Linked DNA regions of Drosophila melanogaster. The protein of the gene in region 1 purifies or fractionates together with the protein of each later gene. This does not show direct contact. Each region holds a gene or a part of one and is shown on either strand. Other genes may lie near its edges. The genes, in order: Iris and coro.

What was found.
Region 2: the proteins of Iris (region 1) and coro purify together in Drosophila melanogaster (affinity purification with mass spectrometry, with the first as the bait; one large-scale study listed by BioGRID). This does not show direct contact.

Annotation. Positions count from the first base shown.
Region 1 is NT_033779.5:1,131,763-1,136,273, reverse strand, and holds Iris (iris), read left to right. Parts: upstream 1-2,175; 5' UTR 2,176-2,200; coding exon 2,201-3,796; 3' UTR 3,797-3,942; downstream 3,943-4,511. Other genes in the region: CG4577 (uncharacterized protein), read right to left, coding at 1,193-1,415; TBC1D23 (TBC1 domain family member 23), read right to left, coding at 4,321-4,511.
Region 2 is NT_033778.4:6,861,791-6,869,777, reverse strand, and holds coro (coronin), read left to right. Parts: upstream 1-1,982; 5' UTR 1,983-2,211; intron 2,212-2,253; exon of another isoform or gene 2,254-2,296; intron 2,297-2,637; exon of another isoform or gene 2,638-2,781; intron 2,782-2,836; 5' UTR 2,837-2,893; coding exon 2,894-3,091; intron 3,092-3,893; coding exon of another isoform or gene 3,894-3,911; intron 3,912-4,403; coding exon 4,404-4,670; intron 4,671-4,728; coding exon 4,729-5,142; intron 5,143-5,206; coding exon 5,207-5,500; intron 5,501-6,223; coding exon 6,224-6,430; intron 6,431-6,488; coding exon 6,489-6,716; 3' UTR 6,717-7,518; downstream 7,519-7,987.

The DNA.
Region 1 (4,511 bases):
AGCGCTAACGAACGTGTTGCACACACGGACGCGTATTTATACTCGGAATGGATCGGAAAGGCTTAACAGCTTGAGCTTGGCTGCCTACTTAAGGGCTCAATGCTGCGGTGAAAGTGGGGGCGGCAATGGGTGGCACTTGCCACCCAAGATGTGGTGAATGGCGATGGCGATGGCGTAAGGCGATGCTAGGCGAACGGCGCCAGGCGAGCAGAAAGTGCAGGAGGAGCGGAAGGGGCGCAAAAGGGGCTGAAAACTTTCGCCTAACTCGCTTTCTAAAAATAGAAATGAAATCGCGCGCACGTACGCACACTTTAACAGCATGGAGGCCCCCCCACTCACATACACGCACACACGTACTCACACACACTCACAAAGGAGGCTGGCCGCCATTTTGTGTGGCGAACGCCTACGCGATGTTTAACTGCGCTGTAGGTTCCCGTGTGCTTGTGTTGGTGAGCGCTGAGCTACATATATGAACAGTGTAACTGCACTGGGAGAAATCGTGGAGCTGTATATACAGAATACCATATGTTTCTTTAGAGTTGTTGAAAGAAAAGGCAACATTGTGCTTTAAGCCGCAGCTTGATATATGTATATATGTTTCGTGAATATTTTGGCAGAAATTTGATTATTATATATATATGTATATAATTTAATATAATTTATATAATCATTTTTTTGTTGAAACTTTAATTTAAAGACTTAAAACTTATTTTATTTGATAGTTTTCTTTCAAGAGTGCATATAGCTACCCACTTACTCAGAAAAGTCATTGGTAGTTTTCTCGCTGTGCAGGCACAGTAATGATTCACTAAGCCAGTGCAAGAAAAACAACCGCAGGATGGAAATTTATAAATCGCTCATGGAGCGCGGCATTCAAAAGGACGACAGCTGTCGTCCTCGCGCAAAACACCTACGCAATTTCCTGGCAGAAACAGCGAACGACGAGCGGTAAATGGGAAATGGAATATGCTAAACGAGATGAGCTCCGAGATGGAGCCACTCGAGCGGATGCCCGACCCTCAAAAGCCAGCAGCCAGCCAACCCACGCAGACGACGAGCTGGAGGCTGGAGGCACAGCCTTCTCGGGCCGGGCATTTTTCAAAAACTCGCATTTTCCCAGTGACCTTTAGCCTTAAGAGTGGGCGTGGGCGGAGCTGCTGCTCCACCTGTACTGAACTTTGGCACTTACCTGTGGCCGGCTGTTGCTGCTGCTGCTGCTGCTGGAGCTGCTGCTGCTGGTGATGCTGCTGCTGCTGTTGCTGCTGCTGCTGGAGCTTGTGGTTGGCGCTGGTGGAGAGCTCCGTGTCTTGGGCGAGCACGGAGGTGGGCACCGCCCGGATTGGAAGGCTGAGGCACAGGATCAGTGCCAGGACTACCAGCAGGCTGCTGCCGGGCAACGAGATGCGTGGCATGTTTACGGCAAACGGCACTTGACTTGGCTCTAGCTGGTGGTGTCCCAAATAGGATTCGGATCTGGCTGGAGGTGGGAGGTCGACTTCGACTCCTGGCCTGGTTTCTGCCGGTGTTTGGATCCCAGTGGTCTGCGCACTTCGACTGTTCTGAATGAACTGACGTCCCAGCGACGCAGTGCAACAGTTTTTAACGTATTGCCCCGATTCCGTGCCGTTGGCCGTTGGCTTGCAGACCACATTAAAGTGCCACCCAACTCCTCCACTCGCCGACCGAATCCCGTCCGGTCTGCACACAACCTACGTCACTCTCATTGATAAAGACCGCGGAGCTCGGAGGAGCCTGCTTACGTACTTGCCTGGCGAGGCAGCGAGCCAATCCTCTACTGCGCCGGCGCCGGATCTGCAAAGAGCTGCGTTACTGCCAGGTCGCATCGGTGGGCCTCTGTGGTGCTGGTTATGCCGCTATGACACTGGTTGTTATGTAAATTCACTATATTAGTACTCAATGCACTTGACTAGTGTAAAATGTATAATAAATATGGATGGCTTATGTTATATTTGTATATTATATATTTATATTATATTTATTTGAAAGCTAATTCTGGCTAATTGCCTCACTTGCAAATATTTAAAAATTTATATTGCGCACAATGATCCGATCATTTTGCTATATCAGCAATTGAACATACATATGGACATGCACTACCGCTTGCTACCCGATTCTCAGGAGCTCACCTTCAGTTTAGCGCGGAACTCTGGGCAACGATCACCTCTACAAGCGAAAGATGAAAGCGATTAGTTTGGTATTCATCCTCGCCCCCTCGCTGATAGCGCTCTCCCATGGAAGCCCAGTTGATCGGGAGGCGATCGGAGGTCCGATGGCGATGCGGGGATTCAACAACAGTCTGGGCACCTTCGTGGAGTACAGCGGTCAGGCATCGCTAGCCTCCAGAGATTGGAAGTTATGTGCCAGCTTCAACTTGGAGTCGCTTTATACGGCAATACGTGCGTTCAATGGTGTCTACAAGGCTTTGGTCGATGTGTGCGATATCCAAAGGAATCTTTGTCCAGAAATTCTGGACATTACCAAGTTTGCGGATAGTATTCTTCACGATGGACTAATTGACTTGGAGAAAGCGTTGGACTTTAGGGCCGGACGACTTTCTTTGGGAGATGACGACGTGTCCATCGAGCTTGGGATGGGAACATCCTGCATTGACAGCTCCATTAATGTTATAAATGTGATACTTCAAGAACCCTTTCACGAGGCTTATGAACCTGAAAACCTGATTATGATGAAGCCGTATCTATACCTTATGGGCAGCAGACTAAAAAGTGCCCAGAATGCCATAACTGAAGCCATAATCTCTGCCCACCACGGAAAGCTTAGTCCTCTTGTCCTTTCAATGAAACAGCTGCAAGCGAAGATGCCGCCAATTCTGGGAGATCTGGATGGCCGATATACAATCCGGAATATTTACCTTCTCGCCTCCGTAGTTCCTCGGCAGCGGGGCAACCACGTGGAGTTCCAAATCACAGTGCCCTTGCTCGATGCGGAGAAGTTTAATATCTACCGATTGACGCCCATTCCACGGTTAAACAATGGCGTAATCCAACTGGTGGACACCGAAACACCTTATCTGGGCATCAACGATCATATGGACAGGTATTTTCCGCTTCAGAGCTTGGACGACTGCATCAAGTTGGGCGAAGAAAGGTTCATCTGCAGGCGCAACCGCATTATCTACGGGACTGGGGATGACAGTTTTGCCTGCTCCCTGGCGGCCATACGGAACCAGTCTTCCGAAGTCTGCACCTTGCGTCAAGTGAAGGAGAAGAGTCTGTGGACAGAGATGGTGGCACCAAACTCCTGGATGGTGGCCCTTACCAATGAGCTAACTTTAATAGGAGTGTGCTCCGGTGAGAGGCAGGAGCTCCAATTGAATGGCAGTGGAATCCTGAGCATTCAAAGCGACTGTGCCGTGCGCAGTCCAGCTGTCGCCCTCCGTGGAGAAGTCCGGGAAAGAGTTCCTTCGAAAGCAGGTTACGCAACGCTGCAGAAGGAACCAAAATCTTCCCAGGAATCCGTGACCTTGGAATCATTTAATCAACTCCTGGCGATCGTGGGCAAACTGGAGCTGAATCAGAAAAAGCTGGAAGCAGTCCGAGATTACCCAATGGTAGTCGTAGTAGTAGTAGCTGTGTGCGCAGCCATATTGCTGGTCGCCTTACTTGTTTCGGCGACCTGGTTATATCGCACCCATCGGAGCAAACAACTTGCGCAGGCTCAAAATCTTGTCAACGAAGTCAATGGTCTCCAGGATCCACAGAATCGCACCACAACCTGCAATCTTCCGCTGCTGGAAAAACATGAAATCTAAAAAAAAAAGAAGATGCGGCTGCGTGGTGCATCTGTTAAGTTCCGATGAAATTTCAAAGAGAGCTATGATTTTTTAACAATTTTTTGTGTCGATTATAATACAGTTTTATTTGTTTGGTTTGATTGCAATAAATATTAGTTACTCTCATCATGTACACGTTGTAAGTCTCAGGGCTTCGGTAAGGGTTCCTTATTCGCACTTAGAAATTTAGAAAATTGGGATCGGGGGCGTGGCATGCTCGGGATGGCCATGTGATCTGGGACTACGTTCGACTATTTTCTTCAAATCCGGTCTCTGCACCGAGTGCACTATGTTACAATTGCAGCCAGCGCTTCGTTTACAATAAGAACTATACTATTTCAGCTAATACAAGGAAAACAATGCCAATTACAAACTATTACACCGCTCGCAGCGGCGCATTGCACTTTGTGTCTCTGATTTTTGTATCAGTGGCCGTTCATGAAATAAAGCTTGATGCGGAAAGGCGGAAACAAGAAGAGCATGCGGCGGTTGTCCGGTTTATCCTACTTGGCGTCGTCAAGCACCTGCACGATGAGCCTTGAAATCAGTGCCGTAACTTCGGCCGCATTTGGTATGAGGAAGCGGTCCATGTCGGTTATGAGCAGACCATCGCCATCGGGGAATCCGTACTTGAACGTGATGAGGTCGCGGTGTCGCTTCTTGGCCGTGATCTTCACGATGCTCGCCAGCGGGC
Region 2 (7,987 bases), on another chromosome or scaffold:
CCTCTATGTAATTGTGGTGACACGTTAAAGGGAAGCACTTGAGTTTACAAAACTCCATATCCAATAACTCTACACATGAGTTAAGCGGAGTATGTTTAATACATATTTATTAATAACAGTTTTGTCTATACAAGAATGGTTTTGTGCCCTATGCTTTAGGAAAAGTTTGAACTATCAGTTGTAGCTACTTTAATCCGGAAACCATGATGGCATGTGGTCCTACACATTTAATAGATTCTTTTTCGAGTGTACTTGGGGAATAGAGATGTCATTATAACGGAAGTGGCCGGTGAACACAACGTGTCGACAAAGCGGCAAGATTTGCAATCAAGCATTAAGTCAATTCTCGGCCAGTCCCCGATCGCTGGACCATCGCATTCGCATCAATTCAGCGACGGTTGCATCTCTCGCGATTTCAACACAAATTGCTGGAGGGCCCCACAACAGCCCCATTGTCAAATGGTTAACGCGATTACAAGACAGTCGCTGCTGAAAGTTGGTTGACACCCGCTGGTTAAGTGGCGTGCGGATTAGTTGGTTACTTTTCAATAATGATTCAGCAACAGCCTGTTTCTAATTCTGGCAGAGACGCCTCCTAGAACCAAAATCTGACTCAGGACCTTTTTCAAGACCTTTTTCAAACGGAATTCTATTAATTCTAATTATACTATCAAAATCATTATGTTATTTAACCCCATTTCATTGTTATTAAGGTATACATACCTTTCATTTATAGAGAAGTTTATTCTGATTCGTCGAAAACGTTGCAACGATTCCGACCCTATGAAGAATATATTCCTGATCAGAATCGCAGGTTATAGGTAATTTCCGAATGTACTCAAGCGAGTTTTTAGAAGAAAAGAAAAACACTGTTGAACAATTTGAGAAACTAGTGACGCTCGCACCTTTGACATCTATTGTGAATAAATATAATACTAGACTTAAACACAATAACTAGGTAGATTGTGGACTTCCATCTAATGTGAGTTTTGAAGATCCGGTACTAATTTGAACCTTTGACTTAATTTCCTTTCGAATATCTTCAGAAACAGCCTTACATTTGGGGCCCACTGTAAAGAATGGAATGCAATGTGATGCTGGGTATTCAATCACACCACCCGGGTAATGGGCGTCGGGAATGAGTTCTTCAAAGATTTTCATTTCTTCAGCGATTTTCTTGAACCCACACTTCCGTTAATCGCTGAGTGGTCCGCTGATAAAACCACCGACGGTCAAGTTGATTAAGCGCAGAAGAGGCCACTTTTTTGGCCATTGCGAGCGGAATTGCGAATGCAATTATGATCGATCGGGGAAGTGGGAGTGGATGGGGGTGGCTCGACTATGATAACTCAGGCATGGCAGGTGCCAGCGATGCCAACGAAATAAATAAACACATCAAATGCGATTTACAACGCTGCTTTGAGCATCGTGCACTGTGTTTGTATATGAAAATTTCATTTCGCCTAAGATGATTTAATTTTCTATTAATAAGTTTGACCTTCAGCCGCGAAACAAAAATTTTCCCGCCTGCAAACGAAGGTGTTTGGCATATAAACACATAAATAACAACGCATACACACGCCGCAGATATATATATATATATATAGATAGATATATTCCGGGTACAGTGCTTAGGAGTATTTTCCAGTTGGTGGCAAACATTTCGGCGTCGTTTTGGACTACATAGGCGTAGCACTTAACATTATCTCTGTGGTGTTTAGCCAACTCCGAGCTGATATTTCCTTATCAGTGGAGAGGCCATGTCGATACCCACACCCACCCAAGAACAAAGCCCTCCGGGGCTCACCTTGTGGCCAAAAACAGACAGCGTAGAAAGTAATCAATTCTGGGGTCTGCTTTGGGGCCAGTTTAAAGGGGTCAATGACAAAGTTTAGTGCTTGCAATAAATATGAATATCTTTGAGCAAAACAAAACGAAGCAACGAGGCAAAAGAGGCAAATAATTTTATGGCACTTCTCTGATTAAAAACGAAAGCTGTTCGGAGTGGAAGCCTGCCGGGCTCGGCCCAACCCAGAAATGAATTCTGCTTCAAACACGTAGCTATCTAGAAGTCTCCCGGAGTGTTAGGTATATGTTTGGGCTTAGGTTGGCCTGCGGGATCGGTTTGCTCAGCCATAACTTACGTGTTGGAAGGCTACTCATTGCTGGAGTGGCTATTTTGGCGTTATGATGTCATCCTGAAAGAAAGGGGTATGGAAAACTGATAGTTCGACACGTTCCGGCTGGCGCTTCATTAACGAAAGTGGACCCGAATGTGGCAGTTGCCAAGTGGCAGGTGAAAGCGTTCTAGGCGCCTCCCGCCGTTTCCGGCGCTTTCAGTCGCCAACATTAGTGATGCCATAAGCAATTTGATGCAACCTCTCGCGGACAAAGTCAGCGCGTCAATAGCAAGCTGCGAATGGAAAGCTCATTGATTTTCGCAACAAGCGAAATTAGCATATGCAAATTTATTGAACTAATCGAGGCTGCGAAGCGCGGTGAAAGAAAAACGCGTTAAGCTAACACATAAGTGAGCGAAGCTGAAAGCGAATAACATTGCTATTCGGTCGGTTTATGCGTCGCTCAGAACTCGGATAAGGCTAAGATCACGATTTTCAGGTTTCACAGAACTGTGTAGAAAACAAAACCTATCAAATGAGTGTTCAAATCTCTGCCAAAAAGTAGGGGTTTCATATCTCATTCAGGTGCGGAAAGAATACGGCTAAACGATTTCGCTTGAAGACTTGTTATTAAGGGCAAAGGGTGGAAAATACCAAACGCGTAAGAAATTCCCCTACATTGCTAACTATCCTTCGTACGTCTCATTTCTTTTCAGAGCTAGACGTAGAGAAGCTCAGGACTGATCGCTGACCCAAGCCACTGCAGCATCAAGATGTCATTTCGCGTAGTGCGCAGCTCCAAGTTCCGCCACGTCTACGGACAGGCTCTCAAGCGGGAGCAGTGCTACGACAACATACGGGTATCCAAGTCCAGCTGGGACTCCACATTCTGCGCGGTGAATCCCAAGTTCCTGGCCATTATCGTAGAGTCGGCGGGCGGCGGAGCCTTCATCGTCCTGCCACACAACAAAGTGAGTGCGCCACCGGACCTATTATAGTTGCACTCGTCTACGTGCGTCTGCCCCGACGCGGCCAGCTTGGTGGGGTATTTTTAAACAAGACAATGGGCAACTATTTATAGCGCCCTTTTGGCATAAAGTTTGCGGCCATTTGCGGGCTTGTTGCCACGTCGCGAGTGACGTCGACGGATTTCGCATGACTCCACCCAATCTCACATGTGTTTATAAATAGTTATAGATTCTGCTACTACCGCGGCAGCGATACTGCTAGCTGGCGCACTTTTGTAATTTGGCCACTAGCCAACATGACAAACAAATCGTCTAATTTTAGAGAGAGGCAGAGGAGCAGCCAGTTAAATGAATACAAAAATGATATTCGGGCGAATCATTGCATCGAAATGCACACTCAGCTCGGCGACTTATTCCGCTAAAAACTAATTGTTTGTATTCCACTAAATTGCATTTTCAATCTCAAAATCTTTTGGCCGTCCTGCCCCAGATTCAGCTATTCGGGCTTCTGTTTAGTTGTAGTTTTGCGCGCAGCTCCAGCAAATAGTGTGGGCAGCAGAAGCACCCATTCCCCTAATCTTCCGATGCTCCTCTTTTGATGAAAACATATATGGAAGTACACCGATGGTCGTTCCATTTGAAACAAAAATTTGTATGCAAAACGCGCGGCAAGCGATCGTTTTTTTCACTCTAAGCAGTTGCCGCTTTTTTAAGTGATGATTTCTATGTGGAGCGGCTTTCACACGCCCTATTTTACTTATTTTATGGGCACTGGATGATGAGTGAGATCCATCTAGTCGCCAAGGTTGGCCGCATGTGGCAAGTGTAGGCAAGAACAAGCACAAGTTCTTGAAAAAACCAAAATAGATTTACACTCATGGAACTCATTCGAGAAACTTTTTGGAATGATACATTTTAATACATTTATTGAAAGCGATGAACAAAGAATATTATCTAATAATATATAACAATGTTAAATTTGAAATAGTTTACCATTACTATTTGTTATAATATGCTTCGAAATATATAGATTTCGATGGGAGCTATTCGGCATTCCAATTTTCTATAATTCTAGGGCCATATTCGGAAGCAATTGGCATGAAGTTTACAATTATAAATTGCCTGCTTGGCAGATTAGCGAACATAGCAGAACCGAGTGCAGTCGGAGTCGGCTATAAATAATAATTCAGGAATTGGGCTAATGGGTCGCGAGGTTGCAGTTTTGCAATGGTTGCTGCTCATGACTTAGTCGCCATCAATTATAAAAATTTACTGTGGCGTATCGAGCTAATTGAAATTTAATGGACTCTTTCAGGTTGGTCGCATTGCGGCTGACCACCCTTTGGTGGGCGGTCACAAGGGTCCTGTGCTGGACATCGCCTGGTGCCCCCACAACGACAACGTGATCGCCTCCGGCTCAGAGGACTGTGTGGTCAAAGTGTGGCAGATCCCCGATGGCGGGCTGTCGCGAACACTCACCGAACCCGTGGTCGACCTGGTTTTCCACCAGCGTCGCGTGGGTCTGGTGTTGTGGCATCCCTCTGCGCTCAACGTGCTGCTTACCGCCGGCTCCGATAACCAGGTGAGCGAATGCTAACACTTCTTCAGAAGCCCATGCTTATACTCTCTGTATTGCGAAGGTCGTGATTTGGAACGTGGGCACTGGTGAAATCCTCGTGCACATCGACTCCCATCCGGACATCGTTTACAGCGCCTGCTTCAACTGGGATGGCTCTAAGTTGGTTACCACCTGCAAGGATAAAAAGATCCGCATCTACGATCCGCGCACTGCCGAGCTGGAGAGCGAAGCCATGTGTCATGAGGGCTCCAAGGCCACGAGGGCCATTTTCCTACGTCACGGTCTGATCTTCACCACAGGCTTCAACCGTAGCTCGGAGCGTCAGTACTCCCTGCGCGCACCGGATGCCCTTAACGAACCCATTGTCATGGTGGAGCTGGACACGTCCAACGGCGTAATGTTCCCTCTTTACGACGCAGACACGAACATGATCTACTTGTGTGGAAAAGGTGACTCGGTCATTCGGTATTTCGAGGTTAGTACAAGTAAATCTACAATATTACATATGAATATTATCTAACCAAAATCTCATCGAACAGGTAACGCCCGAACCTCCTTTTGTGCACTACATAAACACGTTTCAGACTACAGAGCCGCAGCGTGGTATTGGTCTGATGCCCAAGCGAGGCTGTGATGTGACCACCTGCGAGGTCGCCAAGTTCTATCGCATGAACAACAACGGTCTGTGTCAGGTCATCTCGATGACTGTGCCGCGCAAATCGGATCTTTTCCAGGAGGATCTCTACCCCGATACGCTAGCGGAAGACGCTGCCATCACCGCGGAGGAGTGGATCGATGGCAAGGATGCGGATCCGATCACATTTTCGCTCAAAGTAAGTGGCTAAGGTGCAGAAGCAGCTCAGACTTTTATTCCGTGTTGCGAATACAGCGCTCGCCGCCGAATGCGGCAACGGTTCGGCCACACTGCCAACCATTCCGCCGGCGATAAGAGCGTACAAGATATAGGATATATATCAGCATGTGCGCCAGCGGGGCTTGTCCACAGATGGCAATGCGGCTCGAAGTCGATGAGGCAGTCGCTGCCACTGTGGACGCCCCTTCTACAATGTATTCCAACGGCTTTTGCAGTTGCTTTTGTCTGCTAGCACAAGGACTCCAAGTGAGCTACTTGTGAGTTCCGTTTAAAGCTTACTCCCAGCATTTGCCGGTGGCTACCTACCAGCGTGTGATGCCTGCGCTTGCTTTACTTACGTTTTTTCTGCGTTATCTACGTTTGTGCCTTGTCCGCCCAGCCACATTCCACTCCAATACACAGACTACAGTCCTCGTTCTCCGTTGTACAATGTCACTTGAGACGAGGCATCTTAAGAATGTTTTAGTGACGACCGGAATAAAGAGTATTCACAATGATCTAAAATGGTTTAGTATTCTAAATGTTAGCTAACTTATTAAAGTCTCCTATTGGATACAGTAACACGCCGCATAAATGCACACTTGGCCCTAACACGCACGCGAATGCGCGTGGCGCTTGTCGTTGTGTTCATTGTTGTTTGTTGTGTTCTGAAACGAACAGATTTTCTTACCCGCCTAATCAGGATCGCGTTTCCATTGTACAGGGTGGCTACGTGTCCTCGTCGGTAAACAAATCGCTACCAGCGAAGAAGGCGGGCAACATCCTGAACAAGCCTAGAGGCGACAGCGCTAGCTCCGGTGCAACGAGCAGCAGCGCGGGCGGCGGCAACTTTGCGTCCGGAAATAACAATGAGGCTAGCGAAGGTGGACCGCCTGCAGCGGTTTTATCGGTGAGTACTTGCACTCCTTCAGCGGTTGTATGATTAACTTATTGGTTCACTTCAAAAGGAAAAGGACCTGCGCACCATACAAGACGAGATCCGCAAACTTAAGGCGATCATCGTCAAGCAAGAGAACCGCATCCGCGCTCTGGAGGCCAAGGAGGACGCCCGCAACAAGAATGGAAGCGATGCTGCGCCGGCTTCAGCGGGAGCAGCCACGTCTGACGGCAAAGCCAGTGAAAGTGCCAACGACCACGCGTCCACATCAGCCGGAACGTCAAAGGACGAGGACTAGGTCTAGCAATGAAACGAGGACTGAACTGATAAAAATGGGCGGAATGGATTGGAGGAGAGACAGAGAACTGCTTGTAGAAGCTCGTAGCTACGCTTAATTTCTCTATTGCAACAAAGCGCGCTGAGGACGAATTGAAAAAGAACTTATTGTCTATTACCATTATGGTTTCGATTATTTATTTTTTATAATTTAATATTAGCGAAATCAGTTGAGTGCGGGTGTGGCACAGATAGGGTTAGAGAATGCCGAGCTAAATCATCTAATCGAACTTAAGCGAGCATAACCGAGCAGACCTGGACGCTTAACGTATAAAACATAACATAAAACTACATCCTGCCAAAAATATATAAAAAACCTAACGAACTACCTACATTTTGCGCCCAAAATCAAGCAGAGCGAAGGGCAGGTACTCGGCCCTTTGATCGGCTTGTTGTTACGCAAGTATGAAATTGTTGTAAATTTAACAAAGGCAAATCATAGACTAAACCTCAATCACTTAAGAGTTAACACCTACCTACCAAATTTGTACGAGCTCCTTTCTGTAACGTCTGTATATTTGTACGTCCCGGAAGTTTTCATGACAATAGCTGATAGAATCGATACTGTTCATCCTAGCTGAGGCCCCCTTAATCAGTCACATTTCCCTGCAAATTGTCGTGTCAAACATAGCGAATTTAGTAAGAAAGTGATGGGGGTCATCGGACTTAATTCGTTTTCGTAATCAAAATTTTATTGTTCAAACTAATGATAAGCTGTATTTTGAAATAATAAGAGTAACAATAAATGCAACAAAATCAGAAAGAAAGTAAGAAACCATCGAAACTATTTTTATAAAAATTTGTTTACTTTTCTTTTCTTTCATTTGATTTTACTTTCATTAGTTTTGTTAGAGAACCGAGGGCGAGAGCAGCGTCATTAAACACCTACCGATTTTGTAATTCACAACCATTGTAAAATGAAGACTATATACATATACATACATAAATACTCTATATACAAATAATTTACAATTTGATACGGAATAAAACAAAATACAATGCCAGAAGAAGTTGGGTGCTAATAATGGAGGTGTTTCGTATCTAATTCTTTTCGTAATGTGTGTTCTTTTAGCAGCATTTTCAAATATGTAGATGTTAGTCGACAATGGAATTTTTACCAGCTGCACTTTAAACTAATTGACAACTTTTAATTGCAGAAATAAGCTCATCCATGCGTTATTCATTGCCGAGCCTATGTGTTCGGTTCAATTGAATATGCAAATTCGTTTAATT